Linked DNA regions of Cricetulus griseus. The protein of the gene in region 1 interacts with the protein of each later gene in a pairwise test. Links are inferred from orthologs where the notes say so. Each region holds a gene or a part of one and is shown on either strand. Other genes may lie near its edges.

What was found.
Region 2: the proteins of C-type lectin domain family 7 member A (region 1) and Bnip3l interact in binary tests that used the Homo sapiens proteins (3 or more experiments, as listed by UniProt). The two-hybrid records come from large-scale screens. The link is inferred for Cricetulus griseus from reciprocal best matches to the Homo sapiens genes CLEC7A and BNIP3L.
Region 3: the proteins of C-type lectin domain family 7 member A (region 1) and Bnip3 interact in binary tests that used the Homo sapiens proteins (3 or more experiments, as listed by UniProt). The two-hybrid records come from large-scale screens. The link is inferred for Cricetulus griseus from reciprocal best matches to the Homo sapiens genes CLEC7A and BNIP3.

What each region holds. Positions count from the first base shown.
Region 1 is NC_048601.1:16,596,448-16,600,403, reverse strand, and holds the start of C-type lectin domain family 7 member A, read right to left. Parts: upstream 2,801-3,956; coding exon 2,707-2,800; intron 998-2,706; coding exon 899-997; intron 1-898.
Region 2 is NW_023276807.1:221,983,189-221,987,383, forward strand, and holds the start of Bnip3l (BCL2/adenovirus E1B 19 kDa protein-interacting protein 3-like), read right to left. Parts: upstream 2,801-4,195; 5' UTR 2,705-2,800; coding exon 2,608-2,704; intron 2,277-2,607; exon of another isoform or gene 2,253-2,276; intron 1-2,252.
Region 3 is NC_048596.1:62,069,220-62,073,487, forward strand, and holds the start of Bnip3 (BCL2/adenovirus E1B 19 kDa protein-interacting protein 3), read left to right. Parts: upstream 1-1,468; 5' UTR 1,469-1,595; coding exon 1,596-1,626; intron 1,627-4,268. UniProt on the Homo sapiens protein: Apoptosis-inducing protein that can overcome BCL2 suppression. May play a role in repartitioning calcium between the two major intracellular calcium stores in association with BCL2.

The DNA.
Region 1 (3,956 bases):
CCCCATATTTTATGAAAGCTAATAGGGAATATCTATGATTAATGGTAAATCAATGCTACGTTGCTGATGAAAAAGACAGAGTCTGATGGTTGATACATGGATGATTGATCAGATGTGTGGAAAGGAATAACTTTTGTGAAGAAGGAAGCAAGAAGAAAATGACACAGACTTAGCTGAAATCATAAAAATTTGAAATAATAATAATTCAAGGACAATAATATCCTTTCTGCTTTCTCCTATTATTTAAAAAGGGCAGCTCTTTGAGGATTGCCCAGCTTGTAATAAATGGAGTGTGTTTGTACACACATTAATAAGCATTTGACTAATTATGAGCAATGAAGACTCTTTGAAAAGATCATATAATTGTATTGACACAGGATTCATGAGATATAGAAACCTAAAGAGATCTATTCGTCAATCACAAAATATCTGCTTAGTATGTTTTAAGTGCCTCAGGCAATACTTGGAAGAGTCAAGATTTTTTCTTAGTAAAGATCATCTGTGAGATAATTTCCATGTGTCCAAAGGTTCATAAAATTACACACAACTCCTTTAATATAGCTATGCCCTAGGAAAGATAACAGCATATTTTGTTTCCTTCTCCAGCTCTGTAAGTTCCCCTCCACTAACTTACCTTACAAATTCCTCTTTTAAAAAAGTAAGATATTCATGTAGAATAGTAGAGCAATATAGCTAAGAATATATGTTTTATTAAGCAGATTGTCTACATTTCTACTCATGATCCCACCGCTAACTAATTTATAGCAATGGAATAGTCAATCTTCCAATCTCTCCATTCTCCTATAAGTGAAATGGAAATTAATATCATGAACTCAATGGGATTGATGCACAGATTAATTCTCTGTGACTGTCATTAATCTCCCTCATCCATACTCACCTAGGACTCCCAGGACTACAGCAACCACTAGTGCGACCAAACACAGGATTCCCAAGGCCACCGCAATGGGACGCCAAGGGAGAGATGAAGACCGGCTTCCTGAAAGCCAGAGAGATGAGAAAGAAAATAAGAAAAGTCTGTGGAAGCCTTTAGTTGCCCAGCATACTGAAGTGGGGACAGTTCTAAAGGGGTCATCAGCCACTAGAGTCAGTGTCCTGAGAGTCTAGTCTTGTAGTACGAGTCTCCATTGTCCCCAGCTTCAGCATGGCTCTTCTTCAATTGCTTCAGCTGTGTTATCACCCTTTCCCATCCTGCGTATTTTGTGCTATTTCCATTTTAAGATCTGTCTCCTGCTAATGGGACATTTTCTTCTAGCATATGCTTTCCATCACTGATATACCAACAACTAGTTTTTAAAAATTCAAATGAGTCTCTTCCCACAAAAGTATATCATATTTGGGACTTAAAACCCTGTGACTCCTGGCTATGCCTTGCCATCTGCATACCCCTCAATTGCAGGTTCACATGCTAGTCTATAGGTCTGGGTGTTATTCATTCCCTGAAATCCTACTTGTTCATAGGGTGAGCAGTTTTCTGTAGGAGAAACAGAACTAGTTATTAAGGGTAGGTTTCCTTTTTTATTTATTTGGTGCATCATTTGGACAAACTACTTTCTCCACCCCCTTCTTTTTATTTATTTATTTTTTAAGTTTCCATTTTTGATACTGGATCAGTAACACCGTAAAATACTGTTGTTGGAAGTAAGTGATCTAAAAATGCATAGAAACACCCTTTCCAGCAACTGGGAGCACTTTGTACTTTACACAGCACAAGCAAAAGCCTTGCCCCTTCCCTCACTCAGTTTTCTACCATCTTACAAGCTAATTGCACAAGGAAGGGGTTGTGTAAGTGGTTATAAGAAGAAAATAATTGCATAATGTGAATGCCAAAAAAGCAGAAGAAAGCAAATTGTAATGTCAGAACCCATGAGTCATCTTTTCCTTAATGATAGCGCTGAACTGATTTTGTATTAAGCTTACCACACCAACACCAGAAGCCCAAGTCACAGAGATGACCAATAGGAGATCCAGAAAGAGAGTAAAGCACCTACCCTGTGAGGAGAGAGATCCTTTAACATTCTGTATATCTTGCACTGTTTCCATTTTAAGAATCTCCTATGTCCTGCCAATTAGACATTTTATTCTAGCATATGTTTTCCATCCCTGGTATACCAGCAACAAGTTTTGAAAATTTCAAATTAGTCTCTTCCCACAAAAGTATATCAGATTTGGGATTTAAAACTCTGTGACTCCTGGCTACTCTTTGGGTTTCACCAAAGATGTATTCATTTTTATTTTCCATGGAATCCTCTACGATTTCATACCCTGTCCCTTTGGCACTATATATAGTAAGATTGTACAGGTTCATTTACACTATTTTGAGTTTCTTGGCCCCCTCACAAGCAGCAAGTAACTCATTAAAATTCCTTCATCTTCGCCTATCACTCATGTTACCAACCCCACTTCCCACTGATGAAGCATCTGTGACTCCAGAGTGGAGCAGTCCTGGTTATCGCCACAAATCAAAAACAATCTGTGGAAGTCATTGGGTAGTTTCCAAAAAGAGGTTTTGTGAACATCCAAGGAATCTGTGATGACTCTTCCAATATATATATCTATATACATGTATGTACATATACATATATATATTTCACTAGAAAGTCCTACAAATCAAGAGTCTGCCCAGGTCTCTACTATTGTTGATAAGGATGAAGGTTCTATAAGCAGAGAGAAAATGAAAATGAATACCTTTCTCTGACTCCACAGGTCTTTTTAGGATGCCTCGAGTCCTGAAGTCTAATTGAGTATACCCATCTTCATCCAGAGTCTCTTGATATTCCATTGTTTTGTAGGGCCTTGGGTAGGCAGAGCACTTGAATGTTCTTTCCAAGTAAGATAACTGTCGTTTTGAGGCTCTCTAAACAGAACCCTGAAACAGCTCTTTGCTGAGGTTTATGGAACTCAGTATAAGTAGTCTAGCCAGTGCCCAAAGCAGGAAATGAAAATCACGTTGGAGTAATTTCCCATTTTTTTTCCCTCTAGATCCTTTTTTTGAGGCTGTAAATTCTGAAGAAATCTGAAACGTCGTAGTGCATGGCTGTTGTTTGAAATCAATGCTACGACTTCAGTTACACTCTGAACCAAGTTGGCATGATTAATTGATGTGGGTTGGCATGATTAGTAGATGTGTCCTGTGTAAACAGTTAAGCAGTTTTGGTACCTTGAGCTCACCATTGGTCTGTTCGTATTCTGCTTGCATGCACACATCTGTGCATGTGTGCATTCTGTAAACACACATTAACTACTTCACAGCTGGAGGAACTGGATGCTTGCGGAAAGGTGATCCACAAAGAAACTCATTGCCTGATGGAGGAAACCACAGGCAAGTATCAAAAGCATATTATCCCAGCAACAGAAAGCAGGTGAATCTCGCTGAGGCTTATCATGAAGTAAAAATATATGGGAGCAAATATTTATTGGTAATTATGGTGCCTTAGTACAGCATAGCACATAGGCTTTTTCATTTAATCTCAGATCTCTAAGGGTTCTATAAGCGTGTTTTAGTTCTACAATTTTCAAACAAGGAGAAAAAGACATGGATACTCAGACAATAAGAACTTTAAAACCAGAACAAGAGATTGGAACAAAGTCTCCTCTGTCTTTTAGACATGGAATTGCTTTCTGCTGCACTGGCTTTGTTCTTGTGGGCTCTTAGAATGCAAATGATAGTTTAGGACAATCTAAGACAGAAACAGAAGGCTAAATGTCTGGAATTTTTTCTCTTTCTCTCTTTCAATTCACAGGTTAACACAAAGTGACCAAATTAGTACAAAATTGTTTGATTTCCATAATTTTATTACTGCTAGAGGTCAACAAGGAGGACATCAAAGTAATGAGGAGAGATTTAATTTAAGGATTACTATTGCAATGGAAAAGAAAGTCCAATAAGAGCTGAAGTCAGAGTCCACATAACAACAATTGGAAGGCTTTCTGAGGCT
Region 2 (4,195 bases), on another chromosome or scaffold:
GGGTATCTGCACTCAAGTGAGAGATACATAGGTATATAATTTAAAATAATCTTTAAGAAATTTAAAAAAAAAAAAGCTGGGCGTGGGTGGCACACGCCTTTAATGGGAGGCAGAGGCAAGCAGATCTCTGTGAGTTCAAGGCCAACCTGGTCTCTAGATCGAGTGCCAGGATAGGCTCCAAAGCTACAAAGAGAAACCCTATCTCCAAAAAAAAAAAAAAAAAGAAAAAGAAAAGAAAAAAAGAAATTTCAAAAAATTGCTATTAAAACTCTGCTGTGGAGCTGGAGAGATGGCTCAACAGTTAAGAGCAGTGTCTGCTCTTCCAGAGGATCTCAACCACATCTAACTTCAGTTCCAGAGGAATTGATGCCCTTTCCCCGCCCTGGTAGGCACCAGCAAGAACACGGTGAGTATAAATGCATGCAGGCACACCCATACAAAACCTCCTCTGCCATGATTCTTGAACTAAAGATAAAAATCTCAAGCCAGAGATAATCTGCATTCATTTCAGCTTCTGTTTTCCACAGCTGTGGAACTGCAGCCAGCAAAGTACTTGGACTTATCAGGAATTCAGATAGTATTAAATTCCTGAATAAACTGTTTTGCTCAGCACCTTAAAAAAAAAAATCACTTGGAGGAATCAATACTGCTTGTTTTGTTCAACTCGGGGCTGTATGATGAGCTTTACAAAGCAAACAAAGAGGCAAGGCCAGTAGTTAAACCTGGCATCATCTAACAGCTTTTCGTTGACTTTTAAAAGGGCAGCCTAGCCCAAGTCCAAGGCTTTCTATCTAGCTGACTTTCCAAACTAACATCTGGTATCACATGTAGGCTGGGGGTTCGTTTGCTCCTGTAAGAGCCACTAAAAATGAAGCAGAAGCTGACTGGCCTATGACAAACACATCAAAGCTCTGTCAGACTTTGGGATAAACAATCACATAGAGCTCAACCCTTTTTGGTTCTGTTGTTAATAAAGCCTTAAGGAAAGTAAAAATCCCTTTGTATTCTGTGAAACCACATACCCACACTGACCAAACACTTAAGTATTAAGAAGACACCGAGCACAACTGACTCAGAAGGGACCAGGCAGAAGGCACACATGTAAATAAGCACGCACACCCCAAGACAAGACTCCTGAAAGCACCGTGGGAACTCAAATCACAAGCACCACTTCTAGGAAGAACACAACAGGTATCTCTTTTGTCTCATCATTTCTAAAAATGTATGCTAAGGACAGATAGAAAATTTTAAATTTAATATTACGTGATAGGAGTAACATTTAAGGACACACTGACTAAATCTTTTTAAAAACCAGCATTTAGAGATGTGTCTTATCAAAAGATGGGGCAGGGGCAGAGCATCTTCAAATACCTGAATTCTTTTTATTTACTGATTTTTTGGTTTTGTTTTGAAACAGTCTTACTCTGGGGCCCAGGCTGGCCTCTACTCCACACTGCTGGAATGACAGGTATGCGCCACCACAATGAGGTAAAATACCCAAATGGTCTTCTCATCCTGTAGGCTCAGCAACAGCTCTTCGTCAAACTATCTGGCCACGCCTGAAGCACCCCCTCTTATGAAAGACACCGCCTGACCTTTAAACATCCAAATGGCTTTTAAAGAACTTTGCCTTGCCATATGCCAACTACCCCCACTGCCTCTTTCATAAGACACGAAGTACAGAAAGGTTGGGCAAGAAGGTCGGTTGATCTCACAACAACAGGGGACACTCTGAGGACAAGACGTCTGTTAGAAGTGCACTCCATTTGATTGCAACTCCATCCTGACCATCAACTTTCAAGTGCCAGTGCTTGTGTCCTAGGTCTGTTGTGTTGTTCACTGTATTTCCCAAAGTCCACTGCCCAGATTGATGATGGGTGTGATCTGAGGGGACCGGCTGGCCACTCAATCCATGTCACACAAGAAACAGCACTTGAAAAGCCCTGAGCACGGTGGCCTATGACTGTCATCCCAGAACTTGGGAGGTTGAAGGCAGGAGGGTCAGTTCATCATCAGCTACACAGCGAGTTCGAGGCCAGCCTTGGCTACATGAGACTGTCTCAAAAAAGAAAAGGTACTAAAATAAAATAATTCCAGGTTAACAACAACGATTAAAAAAAACTCACTTAAGGAACTTGGGAAATTCTCAGGAAAAAAAAAAAAAAGGTAAATGACAGGGGCGGTACAAGCACCCTGCACAAAACTCCGCTGACCCCTGGACTGGCATGTGGTATAGGGCGAGCCCCGCACACCTGCGCTGCCGCACGTCCACCCGCCACGCCCGGCGGGCCGCGTCCATCTCCCGGCGTCCCCGCCGCACGTTCCCGGCCCCGCTCCGCCCGTCAGCCCCAGCCGCCCCCAGCTGCGCGCGCCGCCCGCTTCCGACGCCCGCCGCGACCCTAAGCCTCGGCGCCGGGAGCGCAGGCCGCGAGCCAGCGCCGAGCGCCTGCTCCTGACGGGAACGCGCCGCTGTCAGTCACACGCGCAGCCTCGGTCCCGACCAATGGGCTGCCGTCTGCTCCCGCCCCCCCGCGCGGCGGCGGCGGCGGCGGCCGAACGGCTCCTCCTCCCCCATCCCTCCGCCGAGCCCGGCGGCCCCGCGCTCACTGTTGAGGCCGGCGGGCGGCGGCAGGGGCTGCTCCCCTTCCTCGCAGTTGTTGTTGTTGTTGTGCAGGGGTGGCGGCGGCTCAACTAAGTGAGACATGGTCGGGAGACTGGGAGCGGCGCGGCCGCAGCACGACAGTATCCGGCTCTCGGGCAGCAACACAACAAGTCGAGTCCCCCCGCCCCCTTTTCTGCGTCTGCGCAGTCCCTCCCCGCGTGACATCAGGACCCTCCCAGACCACGTGATGACAACACTGGTGGCAGGGGGCGGGGTCTGAGCGGGGAGGGGGCGTGTCCGGGACGGCCTGGGGCGGGGCATTAGAGGGCTGTTCGGGACGTGCGGGTGCCTGAGTAGTGCTGACGCGGCGGGCGGCGGGCGGGCGCTGGGAACGAATTCCTGAGAGTCAGTCGCACTAGCCACAAGGGTTGAGCTAGGCAGTTGGCCTTGTGTCTGGTCCAGGGAGGAGAGTGCAGCCCGGAAGCGCCGGGCGTGAATGGAGTCCCTCCCACGCCTGCAGCGGACACGTAAGAACTCAACCTTGGCTTTAAAGAAGCAGAAAACCCCAGTTCCTTCCCTTGGTGAAACATCCGTCCGTGCCTCCCACAGGACACCGTGTGAGGTACCTTGGAGCTAATCACCCGCCTGGAATTTCTGAAATTTTAATTGCAAAGGTAACATGCAATCCTAGTGAAGAATCTATAATGGCTGGGCGTGGCGCACACCTGTCAAGCCAGCCCTCGCGCAAGCTGAGGCAGGAGGATAGCGAGTTCCCTGCAGCCTAGGCTACAGCGCAAGCCCTTTTGCCTTCAAACACAAAGTAAAAAGCAACAACAACAAAAACCAGATCTACCCAAACCCTGACGCTTACCAATCTCTGGAAATGATCTAACTCTTGTATGCTCCTGACTGTTCCTAAATACTCCTACATCCTATCTTTGCCAAATTTCCCTGACCTGGTTTTTTGTATAGGAAGTTTTCTCAATACGGTACTTGTCTTTTAACTTTGTTTCTGTTTGCAAAGTTGAAAATTTTCATGTAATTGTGAAACAAAACCAAACAAACTATGATCTGGGAATATCCACACTTCTAGGACCAGCCAGTGAGCTAGCTCAGCTTGCTGTGCAAACCTAATGACAGAGTTGGTTTCTCAGAACTCAGGTTAGATGAAAAGCTAACTCCACAAAGTTGTCCTCTGACCTCCACATATGAACCGTGGCCTGTGCCCTCCCCTATAAACCATACACACGTACACAATAATCTAAGATTTTTTTTTTTTTTTGGTTTTTTGAGACAGGGTTTCTCTGTGGCTTTGGAGGCTGTCCTGGAACTAGCTTTTGTAGACCAGGCTGGTCTCGAACTCACAGAGATCCACCTGCCACTGCCTCCCGAGTGCTGGGATTAAATGCGTGTGCCACCAACGCCCAGGTCTAAGATTTATTTTTAATTACACATGTTTGCCTTTAGAGGCCAGAGGTAACAGATCGCGCTAGTGCTGAACTTTCTAGAAGTTGTGAGCCACCCAACCTGGGTGCTGAAAATCAAACTCCGGTCCTCTACAAGACCAGCACATGCTATATACTGCTCAACCAT
Region 3 (4,268 bases), on another chromosome or scaffold:
AAACATGGCTCTTGTTTTTTTCTTGCCTGGTGTGGTAGTGTGCCTGTGACCCCAGCAATTCCGAGGTTGAGACATAGGGTTGGTGCTGTAGCTCAGCAGTGTGTGAGAATGTGCTCAGTACGTGCAAGGCCCTAGGCACTGTAAGAAAGAGAATTTTTGGTTGAGAATGGTGGAGCTGTCTATAACCAAGACCTGGGAGGATGGGGCAGGAAGATGCAAAGTTCAAGACTAGCCTAGGTTACACAAGGAATCTGTCCAAAAAAAAAAAAAAAATCAAACATAGATCAGTGGCAGTGGACTTGTGTGCAAGGCCTTGAATATAATAATCTCAGCACTCCCGACAGAACAGAACAGAAGTCAGAGCTGCATACTGTAATCCAAGAACTTGGGAGGTGGAAGCAGTAGGATCAGGAATTCAAGGCTAGTTTTTGATACACAGACATTTCAAGGCCAGACTCCTTTATGACATCCTGTCTGGAAAGGAAAGAAACAAACACCAAATGAAGTTGCTTCTTGTGATCTGACTCACTACGGCAAAGAAAGCCTCTTTTAAGGTTCACACCCCCCCTTCTCTATTCCAGAACTGTATCCAGAGGAATTCCACTCTCCAAGAACAGAGGAGTGACTGGGTAGGGTACAAGGACAATGCAGAATCCTTCTCAACACTGTCCCTCCAAAGGCCTCTCCTTTGTTCCAAATTGTTCCAAAATACACTGATCTTCCCTTGCAGCCTGCCATGGCATCCCCCACCTAACCATTGTTGCTGCAGCAGAATGCTGGCGAATTTTGCTTGTTTTGCTTTGCCTTGTTTTAGAAAGTCTCACACTGTGCAGCCCAGCCTGGCCTTGAACCAGGACTTGGGCTACAGGCATGCACAACCACTCCAGCATTGTGTTTTTCTTAAAAATTCAGCCAAAAATCCTAAGTGTTCACAGAGACAGCGAGACCACCGCATGCTCGCGTCGCTGGCGCCCGCAGGTTCGGAAGCTGGGGGTAGAGTGGGTCAACCGCGGGGCAGGAGGAGGTCCCCAACCCATGCTAGCTAGCCAGAGCAGAGCCCGGCGTCAGGTCCTCCACGTCACGCCTACCTCAGGGCCCGCCCATGCCATGCCCACCTCAGCCTGGCTTTAGGCCCCTCCCCTAGCGCCTCAGTGTTGCTCGCACCTCGGAGCCCCAATGCTCCCGCGTCGAGCCCACCCCAAGCCTCTCCTGTATCCGTGCAGGTCCCGGTCCCAGCGGCTCTAGCCTCAGGCCCCGCCCCCAGCTCCTTGGCTCACGGGCTCAGAAACCGCCGCCCCCCAGAGCCTGCTGCCTTGGGCCCCGCCTCCGCCCCAACCAGGCTCCACCCCGCGCACGCGCCGCACGTGCCGCACGCGCCCCGCGTTCCTCCTCCACCTGTAGGCCCCGCCTCCCAGCCAATGGGCGCCGCCGCCGCCGCGTGCGTCCTGCCCCGCCCCGCCCCTTGTCCCTCAGCCCCGCGTCGGCTGGCCGCAGAGCTGAGCGGGCGGCGGCGGCGGCGGCGCTCGTATATCCCTCCCGGGTGACCGCCGCTGAGGCCTGCTGCAGCTGGGCTCGGGCTCTTCTGCCGAGCTACCATGTCGCAGAGCGGGGAGGAGAACCTGCAGGGTAAGGCTGTGGGCTGAGAGGAGGGGGTCGCGGGGTGGCAGGGGTGTCGTGCGTGGAGGCCGCGATGCTGCGAGGGGCAGCCGGGGTTGGGCGGTGAGCCCCGGTGCATCTTACAGACCGTCTCTTTACAGCCAGGCCGGGCTGGATCTTCCGCGGTCTGTTGTCACACTGTCATAGTTCCGTGTCTTCACAGTCTCGTTAGGTCAGGCAAGCCTCGAACTCCCCGAGATCCTTCTTCCTCAGCTTCCTGAGTAGCTTACAGGCCTTCCGCATCCCCTACGCCTGGTTCAACGTTGTTTAAGTGAGCCAGAGGCTGCAGGTTGAATATTCAGTGTTTTGATTGAAGTCATTAGTATTTATGACCATAGTGCCTCTCACTTTTCCCACTTGGTACTGGCTATGGAACCAGGTTTGAACGTGCGAGGTCAAGAGCTCAACCTCTGAACAACACCACTACTAATTTTCATTTTATAATTTAAGACATACTGGCTTTGAACTTGGGATCATCCTGCCTCAGCCTCTGGAGTAGCTGGAATTAACACCCCGCCCCCCTCAACCCCTGGCTTGCTTTGTCATCTCTTCTTAGTGGAAGAGGAGGATCTAAGGCTTCAGACCACAGTCATCTCTTACTCAGAGTTAAAAGATTGTTATCTGTTTTTGTTTTGTTTTCGAGACAGGGTTTACTGTAGCTTTGGAGCCTATTCTGGCACTTGCTTTGTAGACCAGACAGGCCTGAAACTCAGAGATCCGCCTGCCTCTGCCTCCCGAGTGCTAAGGGCGTTCGCCAACAGCGCTCGGCCTCTTATCTTTAAGAAGTGTTATCTTAAAGGGCAGTGGTGGCCCTTTAATCCCAGAACTCAGGAAGTATCGGCAGAAGGACTCTGAGTTCAGGGCCAACTTGGTTTACAGAGTGAGTTGCAGGATAGCCAGGGCTACACAGAGAAGGGCTGGGGGTGCTTCTCGTGTGGATGAGAGCTACAAACAGCACAAAATGGTAAAGTGTTTATGATTCAGCCCAGTAATCTCACTGTAAGCGGTTTGTAGGTTAAGAAAATGGAAGCTACGTTGGGTGTGGTAACACATCTAAAATCCCATCACAGGAGAGGGTAGAAGCTGAATCTTGACGAATTCAAGGTTAGCCTGAACTACACAGCAGTACTGGGCTAGTTAGGGGGTGTGTATCCAGACGCTGTCTCACAAACAAAAAGGCTCCCCTAGCATACAGACTTTACAGACTATTAGCATTGAGCAGACAGCTGTAGTTTTGCAAGGCCATCCTGAATTGTTTGTGTCATCATACATTTCTGAGAGCCCCCTAGGGATCGAGTTAAGAGCTCAGCCTTAATCCTAAAGGCCCAAGAACTGGAGGAGGATCCTGTTGACCTTTGTATTCTCTGAAGCAAGAGTTCACTCAGTAAAATGAGCATGTAAATAAACATGAGAGGGCCATCTGAACCTTTAAAGTTAGTGCTTTACAAACTTCTTTTCTGAGAGAGGGTCTCACTGTTTGCCTACCTCTGCCTCCTGAGTGCTGGGATTAAAGGTGCACCCAGTTTAGTGGGAAGATTTGGTTTGTTTTTGGATTTTTGAAATATGGTTTTTCTGTGTAGCTCTGGCTTTCCTAGAACTTGTATAGATAGCTGTCCTGGAACTCACAGAGATTACCTGCCTTTGTATCCTGGAGTGCTGGAATCAATATCATACAACGCTGCTAGGCTGTGTTAAGAATTTTTAAAAAGCTTGTATTAAAATTTAGTGATTTGAGCTGGGCCTTGGTGGTGCACACTTTTAATCCCAGCACTCGGGAGGCAGAGTCAGGTGAATCTCTGTGAGTTCGAGCCAGCCCTGCTCTACAGAGCGAGTTCCAGGACAACTTCCAAAGCAATACAGAGAAACCCTGTTTGGAAAAACCAAAAAAAAAAAAAAAAAAAAAAAAAAAAAGATTCAGTGAGCTGCATTTATTTATTACTCTAAACAAGATTTTAGTAGGCAGAATTTTAGTAGGCCAGTCTAATACATTACAGAATCTGTATTTAAAACTACAGCCACATTAGAAAAAAAAATCTTGTAATTCAGGTTTTACTCCTTAATGTCAAACAGTTGCAGTTTCTCCTTTGACAGACTGAGAAGCTTTATTGTCTTTTCTCTTAAAATGAGATCAAGGAATGTTTTATAATGTTTGCTGTAAAGTCACTTTTGTAGTTACTGAGATTTTATATCTATCACTGCTACTTAGATTTCATCTCTGGAAGTTTCTGGGTACCCCTGAGAGGTCTCAATTACCACCTAATCCCTTAACATACACTTTAGACTGCTGAGTCATTGGTAAAGTGTGGTTGTCATTTGTCATTTCAAGGGTTAAGATGCTTTTTGTTTTTCTGCTTTGCTTATTCTATAAAAAGATGGTTACTGTGTGGAAACTCACGCTAAGGATTTGGGCCATTGTTTGGGGTGTACGTGCAGCCCGGCACTGGCTCACCGTCTAGCCCAGGGTAGGAGGGGTCACTTGAGTCACATGGGATATCTCAGCTGCCCTATGAAATGTGAATCCCAGCTTGGAGTCTGAGCTCCTCTGCCTGCCTGTTCTGCTCAGCTTCTTGTTTACTTCTGAGGCTGAGAGCTGTGGAAGCCTTGTTGGTAGG